3 linked regions of the Oryzias latipes genome follow. The main gene of each other region encodes a partner of the protein of the gene in region 3 in a complex. Links are inferred from orthologs where the notes say so. Each region holds a gene or a part of one and is shown on either strand. Other genes may lie near its edges. The genes, in order: wtap, mettl3 and rbm15.

Region 1 (4,156 bases), on a different chromosome or scaffold from region 3:
ACTCAGTTCATTTTGGGCCTGCTCCAGTTTGTCTTTAGTCTGTTCCAGTTCAGCCTTCATTTTGAGGAAAAACAAGTTGATGGCTGGATCCACCATGGACGACCGCAGCTGGGCTGCACTCGGCTGCTGGACTTGCTTCAGGTACTGGATCTGTGTCTGTAGGAGGCAACAGGCAGGTGTTAGAGTCCAGTCACACACATTATGAAGCTGCTTTTAACACCTAAACATCTTCCCTTTAAAAATGTAACAAAACTGCTTTCAAATAGATCAAAATCTAGGCTAATCTGCGTCTAGACGCTTAGTTTTAAGTCCCACTTCGATCCTCTTTTGAGTGATTTTAAAAACTTTCCCAGTGGTCTTGTAATTACGCTTATGTTGTTTTTAGAATCAGAATCACTTTATTGATCCCACACATGGGAAATTTGTGTGTTACAATAGCATTGTAATCTTAAAAGGAAATAGAATATAAAAACAAAGTAATTGTAGAAAAAAATTATGTAAAAAATATCTTTATTTTAAAGGACATATTTTCTGCAGAAAGGCAGTTGTTCGTTAGAAATTTGCCTCTGCTTCTCCACCCATTTGTTATCGCTCTCTCCTGCTAGCTTACAGCCCTTCACAGACTCAACCTAACATTACCAGCGCAACAAAAATCGTGAGCAATACTGGAGCCTTCCAGACGAGTTCTGAGCCTGATGCCAGCTCAGGCGAGGAAAACAAAGACGCACGTGGATCTGCCTACAAGTGGATGGATCAGAATGCAGCAGATCAGAGATCAGTCTATTTTCCTATGTAGCAGAATTTTACCAACCACTCCTGATTCATGATTTGAATAAAGAAATACTTAGAAATGCAACTTTAAGCCTAACTGTCTTTAAATATGTCCTCTTCCATTAGAAAAACCCCACAAGAACATGTCAAAAACACAATTTTCATCCGAGGCTTTAAGTAAAAGCTGCTTTCACTCTAGTGTCGTTTTAAAATAGCAAACAGGCGATTCAGTATCCACATCTAAAAAGTGATAAGAAAGAAAATACTTTAAATATTTGGATGTAAAAGCTTGCAAACCACCACAACTTGTTCTCATCTAGAATGATTACAAACCAAGATGTGTTCTCATTAACACACATTCCCTTTCATGCAATTTATAAATCCTTAACATGTGTCTTGGTAAATTGATAGACTCCAAAATAAAAAACAACCCCCACCTTGTAGGCAATTTGAAAAGAAATATTAATTAAAAAGAATCTAATATTTTGGTGTTTTTATCCCCTAAAGACAGATGCTTTCAGGTTTGTCAAGTTTTTTTAGTGATTCTTATGCTTTTAACATTTTATCTTCAAACTTTCTATCTAATAAAGGCAGAAAAATGTTTAGAAATTATACTGTAACGATACAGAAAGCATTAAATATTTCTTCCAGGTGCTGCAACTTTAGAACAACTCATCTTTTTAGTGTTGCATATTAAAAACCTGAGCGAGAGACTTACTGTGCACTCCTGCATCTCCTGCTCCTTGGTGGCAAGTCGCATGACCAGGATGTTTTCCCTCCGAGCCGACTCCTGCTGCTGCTGCTTTAGCTTTTCCTCAGACTCCTTCAGGCCCGGGACGTCGTTGGCTGAGGGGGGTGGATGATGGGAGGGAAGAGAAACAAACTCATCAGCCGACACTCTGCGATGCAACGGGCTAGATCTATTTTTTAAGTGAACTTACAACACAGCTCTGCATATTTAGTCTCCAAGACCTGGACATATGATTCATGCTGCTTCCACCTGAGGAGAATGAGATCCATGTAAACAGCTCAACATCATCAGAAGACAGGAGGGGACAGGGGCTGTTGTTTACCGTGTACACAGCTCCTCTCTGGTCAAGGTCTTCAAATCAGATTCAGTGAGGCGAACCTGTAAAATAAAATAAAAATAGAATAAACAAAAAGCTGCTTAGACATCCATTACCAACCAACAGCACCCTTAAAGAGTAGTTTTAATCTGGATCAGACTCACCTTCTTGGGCAGAGGTTCTTCGTTGGTCATTGTGCTCTCTAGGAATGAAAATAAGCAGAAAACGTGTTATTTTTTTTGTTGGGCATCCTGTCCTCGCGCTGGCCGTCACGCAGTTAAATATTAGACGTCACGTTTGATCACAGACGCCCTCAAAAATTATTATAAACGGGCCTTCCCGACAAAACTGAAGTGTCAACAGTGAACTGCCATTGCTATATTCAACAAACCCGCGAAACTAAAGTGAACATAACCCGATAATAGGGTATGTCGTGCCGAGTACTACTAACGACTGTTGCAGTCAGCGGCGGAGGGTTTCCTTTAAAAAGTACTCAAGGTTAACCCCTCACTGCTAATAATCGTTTAGCATTTCGGCGACGTAAACACATTTTAGAGACCTGCGATGTTATCTTTCAACGTGTCGTTTATCTAAGCATCAAGTGTATAATTACTTAGCTATGTTCGGCTTCTTGTTATAACAAAATGGCGGTGAAGGAAATGACTCCCACCCCTGCGCTTCTTTTCCTGAAACTAGCGGGCTCTTAGCTGCAGTCACGCGGCCTACGCGATCATAACACTCACCGGGCCCGTTCGCTTCAATGTTTCGAAAAACCTTCGAGGTTTACAGATTCTCTGTAACTGTTTTTAAATGCGTAAAGAGTGGTGGTTGATTAAAAGTTGTGGCCTCGTCTTTAAGTGTTCAGAATCATCCCCTTTACCGAGAGAAGAACAGGACGGCTCTGGAGGATGAGGTGCTGCACTGCACTTGAGTTTCTGCGGAGTAATACCAGCAGTGGACAGGAGAGAAAAGTCTGCTCACTACGCTCACATTTTCCGATCCTAAAATTCCGGACAATCAAAATGGTTGTGATCAAATGTTTTAAGATTTAAAACTGCATTTAGTTCTGTGTTTTTCCTTGAATGTTTCTGGGTTTGCGATGTATTACATTATTAGTTTATCTAAAGAAAACGATCCAAAGCTGTTGACCCAATACTATTCTCAAATGTTGTAATGACTAAGAAAGGGAAATTAATTTATTTCCTTGCTGATGTGACATAACCTTACGCGTCTTTTCATCTTTTTTGCATTGCAAACCAAAAAACTGGATTTACTTTGATCACAAAATTTACAATCACAACAGATCGCATTTAAATTATGTAGAGTGGTTCGTTGTAGATATAGACGATCTTTGGTATCCATTTCAACACAGTGACGCAAAGACCACGTGATTCCAATGGTTACATAGTTATTTTTTAATCGTGACGCAAAGTTGTTACAAATTTTCAACCTTACAAATATTGTATAGTTTAATATGATTAAATTTTGAGTACAATAAACGAAAAGGGCTTAAAAAAATTTTTTTCGCACACATGTGGCCCCATGTTACAATAAATCTTCGGTATCTACCAAAAGACAGGGCTAAGGAAAAGTGGTAAGACCGAGAAATAAATCTCAAAATTTAAAAGATGACGTTGGTTGCAATTGAATTGCCGAAAATATAATTATTATCTTATAAATATATATAAAAATAGTATATATTGCCTTTCAAGCTTATATGAATTTAAGCCATTTTCGATAACATCCCCATATTCTGATAATGGTACGGTCGACTCCGCTGTCAAGTTGAAATTGCCCATTTCAAGGGCAGTAATACCGCCTTGTTTTCACTTTTCTTGGCTCTCTAACCTTTAAGCAAACATGCTTTGCAAAGTCTGGCAAATGCGCAGGTAAGATGTGTCTACGTTATATTTTTATGTAAAGTTCAAAAACTAAAAGAAAATACTTGTATCAGCAGCGTGGAAAACTGTTTGCTTTGTTGTGCTAACTGTTAGCTAACTTCAATGCTAATCTGGTTTAGCTGCTTAGTTAAAAACTTGTGACGTACAACGAAAACAACTCTTAGTATAGTGTAAGCGTTTAAGTATTATTGCATGTACAAATTCGTTCATGTTTTCTATTTCTTACTTTAATTGGTTGGTAAATGTCACTGGCTTGTTGAGCTAAAATCACAAGCTAAAAAAAGGTTATTTGCCACAACGATGTTGAGTTTTTTGCCTTTTCTCCCCCTTCTCAGTTGTGCATCAATCCTGCACCAAACTGTTTCTTGGAAAGTCGGATCATCAAGGCAGAAACACACACTTCCTGACCTGACCTAT
Region 2 (3,493 bases), on a different chromosome or scaffold from region 3:
AGGCTCTCGTCTGTGTGCTTGTTGATGATGCGACTGAGGAGCAGAAACAGCAGAAAAACCTTTAAGCTCATGAATTTAAAGCGTTTCGCTTCACGGACAAAACCTGAACTGATCGGAACAAATGTAAGAATAAAAAGATGAGCGAGAAGAGTAAAAATGTAAAATCTGAATTTTATCCTAGAATTAAAGCAAATTACAAAAAAGCAATAGAAAAAAAAAAAGTTCATCCATAGAATTTAATGAGATGTGTGTCAAAAAGCAATGGCTATATAGTTAGATGAGCTGCTTTTTGTTAGATAAATGGCGCCATCTTCAGGTTGAAATAGGTAGTTTTTTTTTTCTAATATAAATATAAAACAGTGGTTTCTTCTAATTCAGCAACATCAAACCAGAGTGAGCTTTAAGAAGTCGAGGGGTCAAATGTTGGGCTTTGAGGCAGAAATCTCACCGGAAGTGCAGCTTGGTGCACGGCTGAGGAGCGTCCCCGGAGCGGACGCACTCCTCTTTGGTCCCGTGGTTGCAGAACTCTTGGACCTGAGCGCGTCCTCGCGAGCGGAACTTCTCCACGATGGACTGCTCTTTGGCGGTGCTGGCGTTCAGCAGCTCAAGGATTTCTCTGCTCACCTGCACACATGTTCAGAAACATGATGATGATGATGAAAGAGCATTGACCTCCAACCTGGGGTCAAATGACGATCAGCTGAAAGTAAATAAAACACTAGATTGTAAATTACATTAAAAAGAAAATAAAAAAAAGCAAACTTTGAAAAAGAAAATTTGAAACAAAAATAATTCAAACTTGCGGTAAAAGAAATATTGAAAATCAGAAAAACAATTAAGTTTGAAACTTAAGTTAAAACCCCCTTTATGTCTATTGATGTAAATGTGCATCGAACCACTTCTGCTGCAAAATTAACTGAATTTATCATCTACTTGAAAGCAAAAACTCAAGTGGAATTTATTTTTTTCAGTTGCAAATAAATTCGAGTCTGGAGGGGTTAAAAAAGAACAAATCTAAAACTGTTACCAAATGAAAAATTATGTTTTTTTGTCACAGCTGCTGTTTTGTATTTTCAACATTTCTTGGTGTTGAGACCATTTTTATGTGGGAGTGGAGCTTTGTTCACATCGCCCCTGGCAACAAGAGCACTTTCATTGAAAGCTCTGTTTAAACGAGGCTTTTGCATTCAAAGCTCTCACTTTCCAGCGGATCTAAACAAATTTTGAATGCGTGTTGAAAGTTAAACCAGGTTGAACTTCAGTCAGAGACTCGTACTTAGTAGTGACGTATGGATGGTGTTCCTTTTAATTCACAAAAGTGGCAACCATTTGAACATGAATCATGGAGGAGAAATGAAGAATTGTAGTTTGTGAATTCAATGACAGCAAGTTTTTCATCTATGAGAATAGAGTTGCCAAAGATTCAACTGATTTGCACGGCTTTGACATTTCACACCAAGCCTCTTCCAACAGTAGAAAAAGAAAAGAGAGGAAAGGAGAGGAATGTGTAATTTTGAGTTTAAAACTGCTTTTTTTTTTTTTTTTTTTTACTAATTTCCAGTTTGGAATTTCACTTCCCTTTAAACTGACCCTGATTTGACCCCAAACAGACCCCAAAAATGTAAAAAATAATGAAGCAACATTTAGCTTTAAAGCTGGAAGCTTCAATCATAACAAATAAAATAAATATTTTCTAATATTATCTCATTCACAAAAATGTCTCAAAAGGATATTTTACAAGAGTATAAATTAAAAATTTTCTTAACTTTTAGGACGTGAAGTTTATTTTATTAAATATCAAACATACTCGTGGTTTGAGTCCACGCAGTTTTCAAACGTTTTTCCACTTTTTGGCCAGAAAAGACCTAATATTTTTCTCGTCTGCGAGCCACATGTGACCATCAAAAGAGCCATATATGGCTCGCGAGCCATAGGTTCCCGACCCCTGTAATATTTCATCTTCTTTACATTTACCAAACACAGGTCCAATTTTCCTTACGGTTTTGCTGCTCAACATTGTTAATGGTTTTGATAATTGGACAAACTCAACAGCATTTAGTAGAAAAGACTTGGTTGATCTCCAGGTATGAGGTTTACATTCGTTTCTAATGTATCAGTCAATATCACTGAGCAATGCATAATTATGGGTGTAGATTTTGAAGAAAAGAAATGTTTACTAAGCTAAAAATGGTGATACTTATTTCCTCTTGGCAAATTAATCGTTGACTTTTGGATTTTATATTTTCTTCTGTTTAACTTTAATCTTACACACACCAGACACCGTTTTATTTTCTCTGTTTTGATTATCCGTGTTGTACACGAACGTTCCCTTGATGTGTAAAAATACATTGAAATCCCACTTTAGACTCTTAACATTGATTACTTGCTTTCCTCCGTCTTTCTATCTGTGAAAACATCAGGAGTGAGGATTCATTTCCGGCAGAGAAAAACATTGGATCACCTTCTTGCTTTGCTGCTCCTTGGTGGACTGCTGGTTTAACAGGCTCTCGATCTCCATGTCCACGTGAGAAGACTGGCTTTTGTTGCTCCTGCCCTTCTTCTCGGCTCCGCCCCCCGACGCAGAGGAGCCAGTCAGCTGGGAGCAGGAGGCGGGCGTCAGGGAGGAGATGGATGAGCGTGGAGGAGAAGCAGAGCTCTGAAGGGAAGGCGAGAAGCTGCCGGCTCTGCTACTGAAGGCCACGTCTTCTGCTTTCCTCTTGACCGCCGTCCTCTGGGATCCCGCCACGGATCCAATCATGGCCCACAGCTTGGTGTGATCCACTGCCACCACGACGGTGGAGGAGGGAACCGCGGAGGAGGCAGAGACGGACGTGGGCTGTCGGACTTCAATGAGCTCCTGAGCTGAGAACTTTAGCAGGAGGCTCTGGATGCATCCATGACTGGCGGCAGCTTCAGGCTTCAGACAGATAAACAAAGAAATCATAGTGTAGAACGCCGCATCCAACAGGTTCTTCAATGATCCCAGAAAACCACCTTACATTGTTGAGTTCATTACTGATGGCAAGGGAGTCTATAGGCAACGAAAGACTCAGGTCAGACAGATATCCCAGCAGCCTTTTCTCCAGCTCAGGATCCGGTGGTTTTTCTGTCTCCTCCTGAGAGCTGGATGGAGCTGGTGGAGCCGGGCTGTCACTCCTGACTGCAGAGCCATCTGGGACGGTCCCACTGTCTGAGAGACCAAGAAGGACCAACACATTGCATTAGAAAAGAAAAGAAAACGCATAAACACATTTAACAGTCGGACTCCGACTATATTTATATCTATTGTTAAACCATTTCCAGTCGTCTTTTAATTATGATTATGCTGTTTTGGCCAAAAGCCTGTGTTGTTTTTCTAAAGACATTTTTTCTTTAAAACGGCAAGAGTTCATCAGGCTTCGCCTCTGAATTGTGACCCTCTGCTGATATCCCATCACCCTCTATTTACACGCTCTTCTGCTAGCTTAAAGCCCCTCAACACTCCCAGCTTGTA
Region 3 (4,144 bases):
TGATCAAATTCAAATACTCACTTGATATTTTTAAGATGAACCTTTTAGTTTGGTTGCAGGGCACCATATGTCTTTTTAGTGAATTACATGGCACCTTACAAACACTCAAGAACCATACTAGTGTACCCCACAATGCAGAACACAGCATGCAATAATTACTGACAAACAGCAGACTTGTTTTTTCTTATATTCCACTTGAACATAGTGCATTGTGACTTTTTCTCTTTTTTTTTTTTTAAGATGCTCCACGAACCACAATCATGACCAGATAGTCTTCTTCGCTTTTTGCCAGAGCTTTTGCAGAGGAATCCAGGAATTGCTGAGAGAAATCACAGGGGGGGAAAGCATGAAGAACCCCTGTGTTGTCTTTATCTCTGCTCCCTCCCACAGGCAGACTGATGACCCCAGCTGCTTGTTTTTGGTTGAGGTAGGACACCAGGTTGCGAAGGGGCCGCTGGGTTGAGGCCATAGGATCAGATGAAGAGGAGTCCTCTGTGCTTCCAGGAACTGCCAACAGGATGGCGTAGCCGCCTGGACCGGCGACTTTGATGCGCCGAGACACCTCATCAAGCTTTGGCTGGTCCAGACGGAGACGCTGCGTGATCTTTAGCTCGCTCACCTGCCTTCCGGTTGAGCCGTCGATGAGCAGGTCGCTGGCGACGCCGTAGTCACCTTCTAGGAGATGCATGCTGGCTGGAAAGTTGCTGTTCTTCAGGAGCAGCATTCCGCGCCATGCCACAATGAGTTTGGTGCCATCAGGTTTGGATTGCTGGGCTCCTTTAGAGCTGCTTTCAGAGCGTTCTCTCTTGGCAGGCACTTTGCCACTGTCGCCCGCTTTGCGTTTCCGCTCACCAGCAGATGAGAGTCCTTTCTCAGAAAGACTCTGGCTTTTAACCCTTCGATCCGCCCCACCTCTTTCAAGGCTAATGACATGTTCTCTGGCTGGTGAGGCCGTTTCACTGTGCACAGGATGCTCAGAGTCACTGAAACGTCCTCCGTCTCTGCTGCTGCCCCCAGGACTGCCATCTGGAGAAGAACGTCTACGTCTCACTGTCCTCTCAGTGCTGTCAGGAGAGTGATCTAGGTGACGGCCATCCTCCAATAAGCGTCTCTTACGTCCTGGTTCTCGCCCTTGCAGCTCACGCTCCAAAGACCAAGGCTCTCGAGTTCTCCGGTCGCGTTCCAAATGTTCCAGAGGCTCAAAGGGGGATCCCCGGACCCGCTCACGAATGGCCGGGTTGGGCCACTCCGTTGCTGGAAAGAGTTCTCTGTCCCTGAAGTGAAGTGGAGGTGGAGTCCGATCTCTGACTCTCAGAGGTTCAGGCGTGGCGCGGTGGACAAACGAGTCAGCCACCATGTCAAACGGTGGAATAGGGAGAGGCTGCAAGAACTGCTGCTGGTACCGGTGCTCAGTGTCTGCGAAATCCACCCGAAGTCTTCTCTCTGGGCCTCCCAGCGGAAAGCCTCTCATGTGTGTCCATGCTGCTTGAGCAGCATCTAAACTTTCATACTGGATGTAGGCCCAAGTGTCACCTTTTCTGTAGTCAATGGTCCTTATAGTGCCAAAGCGATCAAATTCTCTGGCCAGGGCAGCTAAAGGAACCCACGGTCCAAGTCCACCGACCCACAAACGGGTCGTGGGTGTTGCTTTTCCGTAACCGATTTTTATAGGGTTGCGACCCACTATTTTTCCAGACATGCTAAGCTTAGCACGATGAGCCATGTCAAGGTTCTCAAACTTAAGAAATCCATATGTGCTGGTCTGTCCTCGTGATGGTCTCTTGATGTCCACCTCTGTTATGACTCCAAACCTGTCGAAAGCCCGCCTGAGGTCTGCTTCTGCAATGTTTATGTCCAAGTTGCCTAAAAACAAAGTCCTGTTTGCTCTTTGGTCGTCTTCCGGAGATATTAAATCCTCTTCACGAAAAGCTGCTCGCTCTGCAAGGAAAGCTGGACGTGCCCTGGCTTCAAACAGGGCGAACTCTCTGTCCCGGTCCAGTTCTCTGGGCAGAGGGGGCGGAGGGGGAGGAGGGAGCCGTCCCAAAGCCAGCTGCTGCAGCCGGTAGTCTCTGTAACCCAGGCCGGTGGGCGACAGGGGTCTCTGCAAGTGTCTGTGACTTTGTGCTGCGCTGTACAAGTCCCTCTCCACGGGGGAGCGGCTTCTCCTCCTGCTCGTGTAAACGGCCTCGATCTTCAGCGGCCGGTCGTAGAGCACGAGCCGGCCTCTGGCGTGTTTAGCAGCCCTGGCGTCCTCCGGCTTCCTGAAGTTAACGAAAGCAATCCGTTCGTCGTTGCTGCGACTAATTTTGACGCTCACGTCGCCAAACTTTTTGAATTCATGAAAAAGCCCATCTTCTATATCCTCCTCGCTCAGCTGATTCCCAAGGTCGCTGATTTTGAGTGTTTTGTACTCACTCTCGGTGCTGGGCGGCGGAACACGCTGCTCCGCGCGCGAAGAGGCTCGCGGGGAGGCTAGGTCTAGCGACAGGCTCAGGTTGTGGTTTTTACCCACGGAGCTGGAAGCAGCAGACTGACAGCTGTGATTATTTCCAGTCCGACTATGGCCCTCAAAATCTCTGTCCCTTTTCTCACCCAACAAGCTCCGTCTCGTTGAGCCGCTGTCGCTTTTGGACGAACTGTTTCCATTATTACTCCCACTGGAAACGGAGAGAGCCCCCATTTTCTTGCTGGTCGGGTGGCATCCTCCCCTCTCTCGAATGTCGTCCAAGGCCCGGGACCGTTTTTTAATCGGCGACCGCTCCTTTCCTTTCATTGCAGCCCACGAAGAGTAAACTCTTTGTGGTAACTGGCTTTTTCCTGCACTCCTTCCACAAAATAATGTAGAAAATATCCAATACGTTCAAAGAATTTATTTACCGACCCTGCGGCAAAACAACAACAGTCGCCATTTTGTTAAGATTTGTGAGAAGACCCGCCTCCATGCGCTGATTGGCCGGTGTTTGGGGGGCGGCGATTGGTTAAAACCTTTTAAAATCCCGTCAATCACGCACACAGCGATGGATTAAAAAATGGGTCATTTCAGAATAAACCTATTTTAAATAATCCACATGCAAAACTAAGTGAAAATAATTACTGAAAATAATTTAAAAAATGCCAAATAAGCTCAATGTACCCCCTAAAATGCATTTTTTCTTGTCCCGTCCCCCATTGTCCAAATTAAATCTTCAATAAAAGCAGTTAAAATTAAATTTTAGATTCAGTTTTTGGTATATCTTGTTTTGATTGGTGTTTTATGTAACCGTGGGATTTTTTTAAATAAAAGAAGTATTTCAAATATTATTTATGATCAATACAATGTGTTTCCCACCGAATCCACACAATTCCTTTTACCATAACAGGTAAGAGGGTTAGAATATAGCAAAGAGTGATATGCTGGACTTGACATCATCAAACAGTATTCAAAAAGAATGGGTAGAGCAAAAGTTACGTGGATCTTTTATTTTTAACACATAGTTATCCTAGATTGAATGTCTCACTCCGCCTCATGCAACCCTGTTTCCCTATAATCAGAGTAAGACAATTATTGTTATTGTTGTTGCTTTTTTATGAGTAAGTAAGCAATCAAATTAGCATGTAAAGTAGCAACTGAGAAAAACAAGATATCACCATTCATTCTGGGGTGGTCAGAAATGCAAAAAGGCATGCCATTGAAATCACATTAATTTTCTTATTGGTACTCAGTGACAGCTAAACAACTAGCGTCTACTCCTGAGAGAAAGTCAATATTAATACATGTTTGCAACCCTGTTACTTGCAAAAATTGATAACAAGGTTGCATCAAGTCTTGTCATCATCAATATAATGTCATAAATATTTCGCAGTTGATCTGTAAGCAAAGTTAATCAAGCCTTTGACAGATATTACCTTTTATTGACGATTATATAGCAGAGAATTAGAAAAGTCAAAGTTTGCTCTTCATGAATTTTGCAGCCCAAATGTCCTCCAGTTCTGGAATGACCCAAATATCAACATATTAACTGAATATTAAAAGATACAAACAAAAACACATGGACATGTTCCATATGATTTATTTTCTAAATCGGAAGCCTCTTTGCAAGTGTCCAGAAAGTAGTGAAACTGGAAGTATGATTTAAAATTTTTATTCATTTTTCATTTTGTTTTA

Evidence for each region.
Region 1: rbm15 (region 3) and wtap share a complex: the UniProt entries of both Homo sapiens proteins name them as parts of the WMM complex. The link is inferred for Oryzias latipes from reciprocal best matches to the Homo sapiens genes RBM15 and WTAP.
Region 2: rbm15 (region 3) and mettl3 share a complex: the UniProt entries of both Homo sapiens proteins name them as parts of the WMM complex. The link is inferred for Oryzias latipes from reciprocal best matches to the Homo sapiens genes RBM15 and METTL3.

What each region holds. Positions count from the first base shown.
Region 1 is NC_019882.2:7,325,450-7,329,605, forward strand, and holds the start of wtap (pre-mRNA-splicing regulator WTAP), read right to left. Parts: upstream 2,802-4,156; 5' UTR 2,719-2,801; exon of another isoform or gene 2,582-2,718; intron 2,529-2,581; exon of another isoform or gene 2,452-2,528; intron 2,041-2,451; 5' UTR 2,033-2,040; coding exon 2,003-2,032; intron 1,901-2,002; coding exon 1,845-1,900; intron 1,772-1,844; coding exon 1,713-1,771; intron 1,618-1,712; coding exon 1,490-1,617; intron 157-1,489; coding exon 1-156. Other genes in the region: sod2 (superoxide dismutase [Mn], mitochondrial), read left to right, coding at 3,699-3,727, 4,075-4,156. UniProt on the Homo sapiens protein: Associated component of the WMM complex, a complex that mediates N6-methyladenosine (m6A) methylation of RNAs, a modification that plays a role in the efficiency of mRNA splicing and RNA processing.
Region 2 is NC_019876.2:17,633,565-17,637,057, forward strand, and holds part of mettl3 (N6-adenosine-methyltransferase catalytic subunit), read right to left. Parts: intron 3,191-3,493; coding exon 3,000-3,190; intron 2,918-2,999; coding exon 2,462-2,917; intron 625-2,461; coding exon 449-624; intron 34-448; coding exon 1-33. UniProt on the Homo sapiens protein: The METTL3-METTL14 heterodimer forms a N6-methyltransferase complex that methylates adenosine residues at the N(6) position of some RNAs and regulates various processes such as the circadian clock, differentiation of embryonic and hematopoietic stem cells, cortical neurogenesis, response to DNA damage, differentiation of T-cells and primary miRNA processing.
Region 3 is NC_019865.2:10,859,919-10,864,062, reverse strand, and holds the start of rbm15 (putative RNA-binding protein 15), read right to left. Parts: upstream 2,938-4,144; 5' UTR 2,774-2,937; coding exon 236-2,773; 3' UTR 1-235. UniProt on the Homo sapiens protein: RNA-binding protein that acts as a key regulator of N6-methyladenosine (m6A) methylation of RNAs, thereby regulating different processes, such as hematopoietic cell homeostasis, alternative splicing of mRNAs and X chromosome inactivation mediated by Xist RNA.